2 linked regions of the Mus musculus genome follow. The protein of the gene in region 2 interacts with the protein of the main gene of each other region in a pairwise test. Links are inferred from orthologs where the notes say so. Each region holds a gene or a part of one and is shown on either strand. Other genes may lie near its edges.

The links.
Region 1: the proteins of Lmtk2 (region 2) and Myo6 interact in a two-hybrid assay, tested with the Homo sapiens proteins (2 studies listed by BioGRID). The link is inferred for Mus musculus from reciprocal best matches to the Homo sapiens genes LMTK2 and MYO6.

What each region holds. Positions count from the first base shown.
Region 1 is NC_000075.6:80,164,184-80,168,076, reverse strand, and holds the start of Myo6 (unconventional myosin-VI), read right to left. Parts: upstream 3,044-3,893; 5' UTR 2,848-3,043; intron 1-2,847. UniProt on the Homo sapiens protein: Myosins are actin-based motor molecules with ATPase activity. Unconventional myosins serve in intracellular movements. Myosin 6 is a reverse-direction motor protein that moves towards the minus-end of actin filaments.
Region 2 is NC_000071.6:144,173,300-144,177,113, reverse strand, and holds part of Lmtk2 (serine/threonine-protein kinase LMTK2 precursor), read right to left. Parts: intron 3,506-3,814; coding exon 637-3,505; intron 1-636. UniProt on the Homo sapiens protein: Phosphorylates PPP1C, phosphorylase b and CFTR.

The sequences.
Region 1 (3,893 bases), on a different chromosome or scaffold from region 2:
GAGGTAGAGGTAGGCGGATGTCTTAATCTTTTTTTTTTTTTTTTTTTTCGAGACAGGGTTTCTCTGTATAGCCCTGGAACTCACTCTGTAGACCAGGCTGACCTCGAACTCAGAAATCAGCCTGCCTCTGCCTCCCAAGGGCTGGGATTAAAGGCGTGCGCCACCACCACTATTTTTTATTTCTTAAAGCACAACTATTTGTTCATAGCTATATGCCAAGGCCTATGTGGGGTAGTCAGAGGACAAATTCACAGAAGTTGTTTCCTTGAGACCCAGGTATCCAACTAAGGTCATCAGGGTTCCAGACAAGTGTTTTTACCTGCTAAGCATCTCCCAGGCCTAGATATCTTAATCTTGAAGCATGTTTCCCTCCTAAGGTTAAAGCTAATTGAATAACATTTAAAAGACAGCTACTGTATTAAAGAGCAACAATCTAGCTCATTTGAAGGACAAAAACCAAAGTTCCATCCTGACCAGAAACATCATATACTGCTCAGCTACAATGAAATCAATCCAGGATTAGATTGCAGTGTTAATTCCTATAAACCCATCAAAATGAAAAGCACATAATACTTAATACATGCTGGAACCACTCCAGACGTGATGCCAAAGCATTGGGTCACTGCTCAAGGCCTTGAGAAAGAAGACAGAATTCTCAGTTCGTTCTAGACTCCATGCATGGCCTATCACAGTTTACCTAGGGTACCGACTCCTAATCTCCAGATCAGGCCTACAAAGGGCTCTCAATAGTTCACCAAGTAAACCGAAATCAAGACAACTTCTGGGCAAAGGAGGAGAGAGGCTTTGTTGTCAGAGACTTCCATGTGTACTCAGAGTCTGGACTTTGCCCCTCCAAAGCTACAAGCAAGTATTCATTCTCTGAGCCTCTGTTTTCTCCTCTATAAAAGGAAAGGCTGTCAACCTGGAATATTATTTTGTAAATCAAACCTTTAGGGGTTTTTTTTGTGTGTCACATCACTACTAAATCGCCAGCTCATAAACTGTTAACAAAGTATCTCTTTCTGGGAATCACCATTATACTGTGTGAGATTTATTCAAATTGCAATGTGTTTTTCAAATTGCAATGTTTAAATAAGATGTTCTAATATAATATATATAATAATATAAATGAAACTCCAGTACCCAGGGCCTCACACACACACACACACACACACACACACACACACACACACACGCGCGCGCACACACACACACAAGGCAAGGTCTTTACCCACTGAGTTACACTCCCAATCCTGTACCCTAAGTGGAGTTTTGAATACCAAGAGAAAGTTAAAAACTAGAGAATGGTTTTTTATGTGGAGTTCTTATGGATTTATTCAGACCTTGCATGGTGGAAATCTTTAAAACCATCTAAAGGCCTTTCAAAACCCAGATACAGTCCAGTTGTCTAAACAATAAGTGATCCACCACAGACGCCAGGCAAAGTCACAACAGGATGAGCGAGGAGCCTTCGGCTTCTCTCCGATTTCCTGGCCACTGTTATTTTAAAATTTGATCGTGTAAACAAGGGAAAATCCCTTTCGGACAAGTCCCATGGACTATAATTTGCATCTTTGTTTTTAATATGTTGTAGCTTCTATGAAAAATCATAGTTGTTCACTTTTTCTTGCTCATGTGTCTAGGTACTAAAGACCATATGTAAAATCTATACTCCACGGCTTTTTAACTGTATAATCGCAATACTCTTTTCTTAAGGGTTGTATTCTGTCCCTGCCTTTTACAAGTAACTTTTGAAAACAAATACAAAACTTGAAAGGAAGAGGGAAAAAAATGGGTAACAGATCACACACACGAAATAAAAACACTACAGGCCGACGAGCATCAGACTAAAATGACTTCTATTTATCACTGTGCCTGTTTACTCCTGTGCAACTGCAAACACAGAAAATGGGCAGACATTTAAAAGTCAATGAGCTGTTCTGAAGAACTACATTGTTTCTGGGCTTCCTCTGTCCCCCTTGTAGCATTTGTGGCCATTTCTAAAATTAATGCTAGAGAGCACTAAGGTAATTTTTTTTTCACTAAACATTTCCCAGTTGGAAAACCACAAGCCAAGATGTCTTGAAGTCGAGTTAATTTGTACAGAAATGCTGCTGTTCCGCAGCCAACCTTTGGACCATGACCACCACCAAGCTCAAGACTCAGATTTTATGGTGTTACAGCCGAGCCTCAAAGGCTGTTAAAAGTCTCAAGCTGACTAACTATATTCGAAAATCCTGCAACTGTAACACGAGAGCAAACTAAAGTTTTATTCAACACATATGAAATCGGAGCAGCGTTTGTGTAGCGCTCCAGCAGTATCTCCACATTGGGATTTAAACAGCTCTGCCCTACATACTTTATGCCGGATAAAATGTATCTTTGTGTAAAAGTTCCTGACATAGATTATCTAAGAATGGCCTTATCAAATTATTTCCTATTTTAAAATACAATCCACAGCTAGCACGTTTTAATTAGTTTAAGACGATTTGGAATTAAATAACAAAGTTATTTTCAGCAACACATCCGTAAAACTCACACTCAAAATACTAGAACGCTTAGGAACTAAAATTCCAGCTTTATAGTATGCTACCATGGTCTTCTTCGACACAGCTAAATTATTAATGGTATCAATTGATCTTTACTCTGACAACAAACTAGACTGTGTAGCTTTTTCACTGTGTTTCGAAAGGAGAAAATAAAACTATCTTGCAGTGTCGGGTGGGACTCGTCAGGTGACAGGAGCCCCGCTGGCCCGGGAAGGGGAAGCCAGAGCTCCAGTCCGCGCCGGGCAGAGCAGAGGCCAAGGCGGTGAGGACAGGCAGGCGGGCAGGCGCCCACACTCACCCGGCGAGGCAGGTGCGCGAGGGGTCGCGGCCGTGGAGAGGCTGCCGGGCTGCGGGCGCGAAGGGCAAGCGCGACACCGCGGCCGAGAGCGAGCACCGGAGACGACAGCACGACGGCGGCCGGGATACGCTTCCTGCTGGGACAGATCCCGGATCGGTCTCCACCCGCCGGCCAGAGAGCCCTGCAGAGTGCCCAGCCTGCGCACGTCACTGCTACGGAGCGCCCAAGGGGGCGGGAGGCGGGGCCGGAGGCGGGATTTTGTGGGACCGGGGCGGGGCGGCTAAAGAAAGGGCGGGTCTTCATTGGCCAGTGGGCGGGAACAGCCTAAGGGGCGGGGTCTTGGGGCAGAAGGGCTGAGAGGGGCGGGGTCCTAGGCAGCAGGACAGGGAGGACTCGCAAAGCGTAGGGTCTTGGGAATGAAGGAGCAGAGGGACGTGGCCTCAAGTCAAGGAACGCCGGGGCGGCTGTGAAGGGGAGGCCTCAAGAGCTAGGGTTGAGAGGGGCGGGACCTCATGAGGCGCCGGGGAAGGGGGTGGTTGAAGGAGTGCTGGGTAGGGGCGTGGCCTAATGGCGTGGGGCAAGAGAAGGGCGGGGCCTCAGGTTCCGACCGCATCCCTGCATCCCTGCAAGCCAAGGGCTGCAGGTAGCCCCTCATGACATTCCCTACCTCGCAGTGGTAGTTGTTTCCACTGCCACAGCGAGGGACCACAGCAAAGAGTCAGTTGAAGAAAAGTTGAGAGTGGGACAGGCGAATTGCGGAGGAACTCGCTTGTGGGGATTAAGGGTGGCACCGCAGCCCATCTAGGCTCGTGCTCCTCACCTGCCTGCGTCAACTTCCTGTTCAGCCCTTGGAGGATTGAACCACGGAAGAAAATTTTTTCTTCTCTGGCTAGCCTCCCATGCAGATATCATATTTACTTCTTACAGCCCCTGTATTTCCACCTCGCCCCCTTTGTTGTTGTTTATCTGGACTCTTGAGAGAGTCTCGGTCTGTAACCAGGCAGTCCTGGAACTCATCATGTAGCCCGCGCAAGCCTAAGAATAGT
Region 2 (3,814 bases):
TGGTAATGTGGAGCCCCGTCATATCCCAGGTGGCAGTCATTATGAAAAGGCTTAGAATCTGTACTGTGACACGAGAGCCAAAGCACAGGTCTCCAGGTGAGTCAGGAGGTTTGCATTTCAAAGGGGAAGCTGGCATGAATAGCCATGGGACCAAAAAGATGGTGTCTTTGGAGTCAGAAGTTATAAAATTTGGGGGGCTGAAAAGATGGCTCAGTGGGTAAACATTTCCCAAGCAAGCATAAGGTCTGGAGTTCAAGTCCCCAGCACCCATGTAAATGTGGAGAAATACCCACAAGTTATCTCAGGGTACAAAAGGTAGACGACAGACCTCCAGAGTAAGCTGGCTAAGATGAACTGAATCAGTAACTTTGGGGTGTAAGGAAGAGAACCTGGCTCTCTATATAATGTAGAAAGTGAACAAAGAAGACACCCAGCGTCAACCTCCATTCCCCACAGAGAAGCACATGTGCGCACACACACACACACACACACACACACACACACACACACAAATATGCATACATGCACACCACACACAAACTGAAATAAAATTCTGGATGTTTATAAACAAAATCAAATCAGACCACAGTTAGCTTCACACCTTTTTGAAATTCTCTACAATATAAATAGAGATACCTGGTCAAACAGATAAACGGTGACATCATCGAAAAATGTCACTGCCTTCTTTTCCTTCTTCCAGTCTTCCGGCAGCTGCTCAATGGCCTCGGCAGCTGAGGGTTTCAGCAAACTCCGCAGGTGCCTACCATCATCGTTACTGACAATGATGGGCACAGGGTGCTCCGTGTCGTCTTCAGACTCAGAGCTTAGGCTGTGCAAGTTGAAGGCTCGAAGGTCCTCGTCCGAGTCGTCGCTGTTCTCATCCTCCTCATCGGCATCCATCCCATCCTCCGAGAGGTCCAGCATCCCAGACACACAAAGTTTGCCAAGGTATTTCCCTTCAATGTCTGGCTCCTTCAGCTTGGAGCTCTCCAAGTGGCTGGGCAAAGATTTATCCAGTGTGGAACTCATGTATGCAAGGAGTTCATTGGTATTTGTACCTGTGGAGGCCAGGGTGCATGGGCGATCTTCCTGTGTGTCCAGGTCATCGCAGCTGCTAGGTTCTGAATTCAACAAACTCAAGGGGCTGCTGGCCTCGTCGTTCACAGGACAGGACTCTCTGGAAGCATCAGCTGGTGTGGGCTGCAATGTTTCTTGTAGTTCTGAGTGACAAGAATTCTGCAAAGTAGACACCCGACTTTGATCTGGCTTGTCCTGTGGGGCTTCCAGGCAGCCTTCTCTGACATCAGAGCTTTCTTCTGGGACAACTGACTCAGGTGGGGACTGGCCCTTTACCAACACCAGGGCATTGGCAGATGTTCCTGGGACCTCCTCGGGCTTTTTATCTGGCTCCGAGTCATTGTCTGAGAAGTATGCAGAGTCTCGATATGAACTCTGGGGGCCAAGTGTGAAGCTCTGAGGAGGACCTTCAGCACCTCTGTGGCCATCGCCTGCATCCGAGATGACAATGACCGGGTTGGGAGGCAAACTGCTGTGGCCACTGTCACCTGCTGCAGCTGCGTCTGAGTCAGCAGTGCCTTCGGGTGCAGGGTGCAGGGTCCACTCAGGAGATTCCAGGTTCTCCGTCTCATAGCCGCTGTCGGCAGGCTTATCGGGAGGCAAGAGTTTCCGAGGGGTGTGGGAGCCTAGGGACTCTAGCAATGCTTCACGGACATCCACTGAATCCAGGGAGTCTGGCGTCTCCACAGACTGCTCTGAGGTGGGGATGGGTGTTGACAAACTGTCTTCTAAGAGGCTATCTTGGCTGGTAGAATCCGAGGAGAGGGCAGACGCCAAGGCTGCATCCTCCGGGGCAGCCTTAGAGTTAAGCTGGTTTAAAGTCTCCGCAGCTTCCGAGTGTTTCTCCAGTGAGCTGACACTAAGAGGGTCTTCTGAAAATGGCTCATTTTGTAAATCCTGTCTCGATTCTGGAAGACAACTCTCCACGCTACCCTGAGCAGTAATATCATTCACAAGGATGGGGTGTCTGTTGGTTAGACTCAAGGCCTCCTTGCTTTGGCAAGTGACGTCTGGGGGTCTGTTGCCCCCATCGAGGGTTTTGGCATCAGTAGCAGGAATTTCAACTCCAACAGTCACGGGGTCGGGGCCTAGCTCCAAGCAGATGGAGTCCTCGGGGACTCTGACATCTCTAAAGGATTTGGTTTCTTCTGGCTTCAGAATTGGGTCTGTGGGGGCAGTAGGAGATCCTTCTTCTGTGAGCAAGGCTGGGGAGGCCTGTGGTGAGGTACCACTGTGACGCCTGACACCTGCACCTTCATTCTGTCCACGCGTGTCTCCCTGTGACAAAGGAAAGTCTAGTGTATTTTCCAGGAACTCAAGTTCAGAACTTTCAGAGCCTCTCTGGGGTGACTCCAACAGTGCTGAGGTAAAACCTGCATTCTTGAGTTCTGTTTGAAGGTCGCTCACTTGCTCCTTGGTAGTCAGAGAGCCTTTCAGTAGATTTTTCTCCTGAAGAAATAAAAAGTTTTCTGACAATTCTTGGACACTCAGTGGATCAAAGTGATCTTGGTGCAAAAGGCTTTCTGATAAGCACAGAGGGCCCTGGTCCAAGAGCTTATGGGGCTTTTCTTTGTCAGACTGGCAGGTGTCCTTGGGGTCATCCAGGCTTGAACTCAAGATGGCTGGCTTAAAGTCAGCTTGAACTCCATTTAGTTCCATTAGATCAAATATTTTTTGGTGACTGGGCAGGTCATCTGCTTTGTCAAGGTCACTAAATAGGTTGAAAGGGCTCCCAGGGATGCTGGTAGCACGTGAGTCCTCGGTAGAGCTGGCTTCTTTGGGGTGAGCACTGCTCTGGAAGAAATCCTCTTCTGTCCTGGGTTCCTCAGCCCCAGCCCTCTCTAGCTTATCTACTTCAGTTGTGAGCAGTGCAGGGGGGTCCAGTCCCAGATTGCTGCTGCTTTTCTCCTCCAGCTGGATGTAGTAGTCACTTCCAACAGAGAGGTTGTGTGCATCAAACACAGGAACCACCCCAGGGGCCCTCACGGGCACCTCCTGGCCACTGTCATCTTGCTTGCCAGGGCCAGGATCTGAAAGCGAATTCTCAAACACCTCCACTGGGAAGAACATGCTGGAGTAAGACAGGGCTTCATCTGGGTGGCCCCGGCCCTGCTCATCAAAATGGTCGTGCTTGGCAGCCTCCCACACATACTCAAAGCTCAGGCCCTGGCTGGTCTCCGTCACCGTGAGGACCTCCTCCATCTCCCGACCCAGCCGGTCCCGGGCGAAGTGGTCAAGGATGGGGAAGGCAGCGCTGCTGGATGCGTCCCTGCTGTTGGTGTCGGGCTTGAGAGCAGTCCACTGCTGTTCAAAGTCGACCTCCGAGTCCCGCTGGCTCTGCATCCTCAGGTAAGTTAGCAGACGGTGCACGTCTTCTGCGGCTGGCCTCTTGTCAGGAGGCAGCCAGCAGAACTGCAGCACTTCGTACCTGAGAGGCACACAGGGGACGTTAACAACAGGGACATAAGGAAAGAACCTTACTTCAGAGCCAACTCAACACGCCCTTCTCCCTAAGATTCCTGCACCTCGACCACCGCTAGCCACGGTTAAGGGCTTAACTCAGAGTGTGATTACAGCACAAGAGGAAGGCAGGAACGAGTGAGGCACCCATTCCCCCCAAACCAGGACATTTCATAGTATTCTGCCAGATCATGCCTTCTTCTGGTTTTCTTCTAATGGTCTTCCCATCAAAAAAAGTAATTTTTTGATTGCTGTTCTAAATTTTTATTTATTTTTA